Nothobranchius furzeri: one gene and its partner. The protein of the gene in region 2 binds, or shares a complex with, the protein of the main gene of each other region. Links are inferred from orthologs where the notes say so. Each region holds a gene or a part of one and is shown on either strand. Other genes may lie near its edges.

Evidence for each region.
Region 1: the proteins of sodium/hydrogen exchanger 3 (region 2) and chp1 are in contact, whole or in part, in a cryo-EM structure (PDB 7X2U), measured with the Homo sapiens proteins. The link is inferred for Nothobranchius furzeri from reciprocal best matches to the Homo sapiens genes SLC9A3 and CHP1. Residues at the interface, in NP_004165.2 of Homo sapiens: Tyr396, Arg397, Met398, Gln400, Glu402, Arg474, Leu475, Asn476, Glu477, Leu479, His480, Gly481, Arg482, Ala483, Phe484, Asp485, His486, Ile487, Leu488, Ser489, Ala490, Ile491, Glu492, Asp493, Ile494, Ser495, Gly496, Gln497, Asn501, Arg504; in NP_009167.1 of Homo sapiens: Arg30, Leu31, Arg34, Leu38, Lys40, Glu49, Phe51, Gln52, Arg53, Ile54, Glu56, Leu57, Ala58, Ile59, Asn60, Pro61, Leu62, Asp64, Ile66, Phe70, Phe83, Leu87, Phe90, Leu115, Phe117, Ala118, Leu121, Tyr122, Leu135, Leu139.

Annotation. Positions count from the first base shown.
Region 1 is NC_091758.1:19,054,017-19,057,947, reverse strand, and holds the start of chp1 (calcineurin B homologous protein 1), read left to right. Parts: upstream 1-1,647; 5' UTR 1,648-1,901; coding exon 1,902-1,968; intron 1,969-2,139; coding exon 2,140-2,212; intron 2,213-3,127; coding exon 3,128-3,208; intron 3,209-3,656; coding exon 3,657-3,784; intron 3,785-3,867; coding exon 3,868-3,929; intron 3,930-3,931. UniProt on the Homo sapiens protein: Calcium-binding protein involved in different processes such as regulation of vesicular trafficking, plasma membrane Na(+)/H(+) exchanger and gene transcription. Involved in the constitutive exocytic membrane traffic.
Region 2 is NC_091759.1:25,545,051-25,548,881, reverse strand, and holds part of sodium/hydrogen exchanger 3, read right to left. Parts: intron 3,647-3,831; coding exon 3,344-3,646; intron 1,808-3,343; coding exon 1,647-1,807; intron 1,255-1,646; coding exon 923-1,254; intron 1-922. UniProt on the Homo sapiens protein: Plasma membrane Na(+)/H(+) antiporter. Exchanges intracellular H(+) ions for extracellular Na(+) in 1:1 stoichiometry, playing a key role in salt and fluid absorption and pH homeostasis.

The DNA of each region.
Region 1 (3,931 bases), on a different chromosome or scaffold from region 2:
TCATCCGGTGACGCACCGATCACTGATGCGGCCGGCAAGCAGCGAGCACTCCGCTGTTTTTGCGGTCGGTAGATCTTTTAGAACTGCAGTTCAAAGGTAACTCATAAGGTAAATATATATGAACCCAGGTAGCAGTTTCTCTTAAGGATTGAGAGGAGATGCAGGAAGATAATAAACAGACAGGACAGAAAAATAGTCAAATAAAAACAAGTTAGTTTTTGTACCTGGTGGTTGCAACAGACACCATTGAAGGTAATCAGAAGTGAGGAACAGAAACTGAAATAATTATTTTAATTTTTAGAGCAGCAGGATCTCTGAGAGGCTGCAGGCGCATCAGTGAGTTTGCGGCCGCTGCACAGGGGGAGGGGGGAGATGGCTGAAGCAGAAACTACCGTTGTTAAAAGAAATGTGTTTAACTTTGAAAATGTGGGCGCAATTTTAATTGTCAAAAACTCCAGCGAACCATTAGTTCATTTTGCTCAAATAGAAATAGAGGCCTGCCTCTAATACTGGCCCTCCTTCCAATAAAGGCCTGGAGCTTGATGAGCTTGAGTCAAATACAGGCCCGGGCCTGTATTAGAGGATTTACTTTATCTTATTACAGCAGAGTACATAGGATAGACGTGTGTGCCTTACCTGGGTAAGAAATATAATAAAACTGCCCTATTTTACCCAGCTGTGTGCAGCAGTTTCTCTTCTAAAATAATGAAAACTGCTGAAAAATAGGTCTAAATCATAATCAGCTTTGAAATAATTTCAGTTAAATATACAGATTTAAACACATGAAAGATGTGTCTTCAGTTCCATCCTGCTTGCCTCAGCCTATGAAAATATTTCCAAATTGTTACCAAAAGGCATGATCATGAAAATACACGACACCGATTACATCAGATTTTATTGAACAAGTACAGAACACCTGTGTGTGTGTGTGTGTGTGTGTGTGTGTGTAGGTATATTGAACTGGCAGCTATGTCATCAGCAAACAACAGATTAGATGAACATTTGAGGGCATGCCTATCATTTTTAACGTGGCTTTTGAAAAGCTAATGTTAGCTTTCTCACAAAGACAAATTATTTACCTCTGCTCAGGTATCCGCATCAGTTCTTCTTCTTAGAGTTTTAATGGCGGGTGGCATCTAACTGCTAGGTGCATTTCCGCCACCTACTGTGCTGGAGTGTGAGTCGGGGTAAGAGCGAGAAAAAAAACTAAATTCTATCCAACAGACCACAGTGCTTTAGATACCCAACAACCAACTTGTAATTCCTTTCTTCACCATTTAACAAATTCCTTACAGTCATCACTCCACCTCCTATGTCTCTTAATTTCTCCCTGAGTTGCCCTCTACTTCCCTCATATTTTATGCAGTCACACAAAACATGTTCCACTGTTCCCCCCCACCCACCCACCCCACATCCACACAAACCAGTGGGATGTTTATCCACATCAGTTGCTTTGCTTGCTTAGCTTTCAATCAAGCGAAGGCTACTGTCTGCCACACCCGCGAATTTTCAGCCAATCGTAGTAGAGCGTATCTAGCCAATCAGATGCGAGAAAGGCGGGACCTTCCTTGGTCACCCTAGAATTCCAAAAGACGCGTGCGGCAACCCTGTTAACCCCGCCCACAGCGCTGTTCAGGAAAAAAGCCTGACCGAAAATCGCTTTGGCAATATGAAGTCAGGACAGACTGGAGGAAATCTTTAACAGAAAACAAACCGCTCGTCACGCTGCATAAACGGGGAGTCTGCTCACAGCTGGTTGATCTGAGCTCACTCAGCTTTTAAAGCCTTGTTTGGAGCAGATATTAGCTCGCGCGGTTAGCTTGTTCGCTAACTTTCAGGGCGCTTCACGGCGAGATTCTCTCAACCGGTTGTGCAAGAAGACGAGCTGATACTACCTCATCATGGGATCAAGAGCTTCCACATTACTGCGAGAAGAAGAAATCGAAGAAATTAAAAAAGAGACCGGCTGTAAGTTGAGCTGACTGATTCATGGAACCAAATTGAAGCTAGCTAACTTACCTGCAGTTGGAAAACAAGTTCACATGTTTTGTCGATCGTTTATAAAGTCGCAGTCTTAATGTGTATTGTGAAAATTAGTTTTTATTTAAACGTAGTAACGTTTTTGTATTTTCGGTGTAGTCTCCCACAGCCAGATCACACGACTGTACAGCCGCTTCACCAGCCTGGATAAAGGAGAGAACGGTACTCTCAGGTAAGACACACACCTGTGTGAAAACTCTCTAGATACAATTTATTGTAATCCTAAAACTTTTTAGAGTTTCTGATGTCAGAAGCTTAGTTCAACAATATCGAGTTTCTCAATCTGCTCTTTAGATTTTAGGGTGTTTTGAGACCAAGTTGAGCAAATGTGGCTGATTCTCAAAAATAGAAACAAAGAGACTAGAGTAAAGCAAAGTTGATCTAGAATTTAAGAGACATTAGTTAAATATTTAGATTCAAACAAGTCATTTGAGAATATTTTTTTACAGGTTTGTATCCAGTTAGTGTTGGTAGGTTTTATCTTAGTGGTAATTTAGCTGAGAGCTCAGTCAGTCATTGGTGTGGTTTGTTTCTGGCTTCACACTAAATGAGAGGTGATGGAATGCTGGGTAATTATTAAGCAAATAAGACTTTAGTCTGAACCTTGGTGTGATGAATCCCTTTGGTTTGGCAGCTGCAACGTCATTTGTGGATCAGTCGTTCAAGGGCAGTCTGATTAATTTTATGGACCTTAGAATCGTCTAAGATGTGTTTACACATAACAAGTTTTTATTCTGTTTGCCCTTGTCTCTGAGCTCTCGTTCCCTTCACAAGTCAGGGGTATTCTCATCTTCTTAGCCTGACATCCTTATCGTGTGTTAGTTTCCACAACAGTGAGATTTTCCACACGTTTCAGGAGGATTGTTTCAAACTCTGGTTACAGGTGATGAAACGGCATCGCCAGGAGAACGGACTCTGAAAACACTTGTTTTCTTTTAAATCAAAGCCGTCTTGTTTTGAGAATTAAAACTACTTTCACATGATGTGTCTCATAAGCTTTACATAAGGTGTGTTATCTTAAACACTATAAAGGGAAATATGTGTTTTCATGGGACTCAATTGTTTTCATATTTCATGATGTCTGCAGCCGAGAAGATTTCCAGAGGATTCCTGAGTTGGCCATCAACCCTCTGGGAGACAGAATCATCAATGCATTCTTCCCTGAGGGGTAGGTTTTCTCTTATTCTACACATTTTCTTGCCTATTTCTGCATATTTCGTAATTGAGAGCTGTAAGCCGGACTGTAACTCGACTCTGCTGAGGCTCGGCGCCGGCAGACACGAGGCTGCCAGATCTGGGTGGACAATTTGTGTGATGCGGTCTACAAACCCCTTCTTTAAGCCATAACATATCAGTTGTGTGGGTGTTTAATGTCGTGACGTGATTTTTAATTGTTTCACGTGGGTTCACCTTTCAGCTGGTTTTGTGTATTTGATTGTGAGCAAATAGAAACTAAAGGGAAGCGTTCAAAATGACATAATGGTACAAGTTCCTGTTTGTTTCCTTGTTTCTCACAATGTCTTTCTCTGAGTAAAAATGTATTCTGACCCAAATAAAACCTTTTTTGTTTTTCGTTCAGATTTTCACTTGAATCTGTTTGGGTTTTTTCCCCCTAGAGAGGACCAGGTGAATTTCAGGGGCTTCATGCGCACCCTGGCTCACTTCAGACCTATTGAGGACAACGAGAAGAACAAGAACCCCACCGCCTCCGAGCCGCTGAACAGCAGATCAAACAAGCTCCTGTGTGAGTGTGGAGCTGCTGAACAGGGTCAGAAACGCTTGGACTCGTCGCTCATGGATCACATAACTTTTATGTTTATTTTTCAGTTGCGTTCCGTCTGTATGACCTGGACAGAGATGACAAAATCTCTCGGGATGAGCTGCTGCAGGT
Region 2 (3,831 bases):
CTCATTTATCAAGCTGGCTTACGCGCAAACTTTGGGATTTATGAACGAAAACGTAGCGGAAAATGTGTGCAACTGTAAGTTGACTAAGGACCTGGCTTACACACATGCTGGACATGGAGAGCACCTGCAGCGCTGCTGCTGAGAAGATACAATAATGAAATCCTGCAGCATTATCACTTGTACACACACACACAAACACACACACACACACACAGCCTGAAGTACAGAATATCAGCAGGGGGACAGATTGAGACAGAACATCATGTGTGTGTGACAGTGTGTGTCCTGTCACTGTGACCTGATTGATCATGTGACCTGGCTACTTGTACAGGGGAGATCTCTGTTTGGGTGACTGGTTAGTGCGCGTGACGTTCACCCGGGAGTCTGGGGATTGAATCCTGATTGGACCATTTTTTATATCCGCCACAGATCTCTCTGAAGAAGTCAGCATTGACGGCTTCAGCAACGCTGTGCCACTCCGTGGGTTTTCTCTTATTTGTTTTGCAAAAGAACTTCCTTTCATTTCTCCACCTCACCCACAGGTACCTCAACTTCTGCTTGTGTGAAATAGCGCTTCCTTGATCTGCCTTGATCTACGGTCGTCATGTCGTTGGCGGAGCGCTGCAACAGCCGGCTTATGTGTATGCATGAGGTCCACAAGGCACTTTGCATTGACCATTTATGGCAGTAAGTGGGCGTGGTGAGGGTGGGATGTGACTAAAAAGCAGCTGAGAAACATTCTCGTTAGACTCTGATTTATGAAGCGGAGATTGCGTGCAGCTGTGCGTCCTCCATGTTTGATAGATCACACACCTGCTTGGTGTAAGCACTTTTGTTTGCTGAGCTTAAGTACGGTTTTAGTAAGGATTCTACGCCATGTTTGATAAATGAGACCCCTGATGTTAACTTTTGGAGAACTCACGAGAGGATGGCGGACAAGGAGAGCATCTCAGCCGTCAGGTAGGCCAGGTATCCCAGGATGAAGAGGAAGCCGGGCTCGATGATCTGGATGTTTTTAGTGCATCTGGACAAAAGGGCGAACAGCAGGCCAAACACAAACCCCACCAGGCTACCGCCAAACGCCACCACGAAGAAGGAAACTGGAAAAAGACAACAGATCAGGCCCAAATAAACACTTCTGGTCAGGAAAGAGTTAGAACCCAAAAAAGTCTCACTTATTCCTTTAATGATCTCAGCGGCATTGATTCGGGGTCCTCCAAGAGTCACAAATGCATTGAAGACATTGAAGAGCACCTAAAAAAGCAGAAGGAACCATGAATGTTGTGGAGACGGACACCTTCACAGGAGCCTTTGGTCCAAGACAGCAGCTTGTTTCTTAGATTTTGATGCTCAGATGACATCATTCCAGAAGGATTCTGATCTTCTTTCATTTCCCTTCAACGTGATGCATCGTCTATGATGGTCTTAGAAGGGTTTCACCAGGTTTTCCTGAGTTGGGTTTCCCAACAAAGACCCAGTTCAGCTCTAATATTTTCCTTCCGAGCAGCCAGAAGCTCAGAAGGTTTCAGAGGCTCTGAGTCATTGGCTCCTTCAGTAGAAACTCTTCCCGTTTCTGTTGTTGCATATTTAAAAATACCAAAGACATCAGTTTGGTTCCCAGAGAGCAGGACGCTGGTCTTACGCACCACAGTGACGCCGTCGTTCAGCAGCGACTCTCCGAACACCATGATGAAGAGGACCTCGTTGACGTGGACCTGCTCAAACACGGCGAGGACGGCCACGGGGTCGACAGCAGCGATCAGACTACCGAACAGGAGGTACTGCAGCAGGCCGACGTTCAGGTCACCTGGAGCAGGACAGGATCAGTCTGAGAGGGTCCTGGTCGCTGGAACCATGATGGAGGTTCAGGCAGCAGAAACAACATTTACCTGGTCACTAAGAACCGTATTTATGTATATATGTATGTATGGGTACATATTTAGATAAGTATATATGTTTATGAATACATAGGTAGATAAATATTTATTATATACGTGTATTTGTATAAATTTATATCAATCGATCAAAAATATACATGAGTATGTAAGTACTTAAGTATATAATTGTGTGAGTATATATGTGCATAAATATAAATACGTATGTAGATAAATATATGTTATACAAGTACCAGCAACCAGCACCGTTTACATTCCAGTAACCTCATCTCTACGGTTATTCCCAAAGCTCGCACCTCATTCCAGTTTGCTGCTTCCAACGACTGGAATGAGCTGCAGAACCACTGAAGCTCCCGACCTACATTCCTTTATCTACCCTCAATAGTTCATGGTGACCAATAGTTTCTGATCAGTGTTCTAAGTTCTGATTACTCATACATATTATATTTCTCTGGTGTAAAGCTAACTGTGTGACTGTTGCTGCTGCCTCTTGGCCAGATCCCCGTTGTAAATGAGAATGAGTTCTCCATCCACTCATCTGTTTAAATAAATGAAAATAAAAGTACATCTGTGTAAATTTATATCAATCAATCAATCAATCAATCAAAAAATATATATATACACGTATATATATATCAGTATATATGCATATAAGTATGTAAGTATATAAGTCTATATGTGTACAAGTACATATGTAGATATATGTGTATATATGTATACATGTACATATATGTACTTATACACATATATACATGTGTATATATATATATATATGTATACATGTGCATATGAGTATACATATACATATATGTACTTATACACATATGTACATATATGTACTTATACACTTATGCACATGCATACTCATATATACATGACTACATGTATATATGAGTATACATGTGCATATGAGTATACATGTGCATATGAGTATAAGTACATACATGTACATATGTGTATAAGTACATATATGTACATGTATAATCATATGCACATGTATACATGTAAATATGAGTATACATACTCATATATATATATATATATATATATACACATGTATACATGTGCATATGAGTATACATGAACATATATGTACTTATACACATATGTACATGTATATGAGTATACATGTACATATGTGTATAAGTACATATATACATGTATATGAGTATACATGTATATATGAGTATACATGTAAATATGAGTATACATACTCATATATATATATATATATATATATATATACATGTATACATGTGCATATGAGTATACATGAACATATATGTACTTATACACATATGTACATGTATGTACTTATACACATATGCACATGTATACTCATATGCACATGTATACTCATATATACATGACTACATGTATATATGAGTATACATGTACATATGTGTATAAGTACATATATGTAGATGAAGTTAAGGCGCTGCTGTTACCCATGGCTCCGCCTATCTGACACCCCCACAGCGACAGCCCCAGGCTGGCAGCATTCCAGCAGGTCCCGATGATGGCGTGGATCAGGATGCCTCCCAGGTTGGTGAAGAACAGCTTGTTTGGCATGCTGTATCCCGTATCCAAGATGATCGGAGGCAGGAAGTAGTGGAAGAAGTCGTACGGGGTCAACCTGAAGGTCTGGACCTTGTCTGCCCCCCAGATCATCCCCCCCAGGATGAAGCCGGAGCAGATGAGCAGAGCGCTCTCGGGGATGAACTCGGTCACATGGTGGTTTGCTTCGATGACTGAAACACCAAACACAAGGTTACACTTTTATTTTGAAGGAGACCTTTTGATCTTGCTGCTCTGTGGCCCGGTCCCAGACCTGAAGTGTCATCGTAACATCTGATGGGTCTGATTTCAGATTCATGACTGAACTAATGACCAACCCGACGTTTGCCCTGTAACTAAACCAGAAACGACTTCTGTA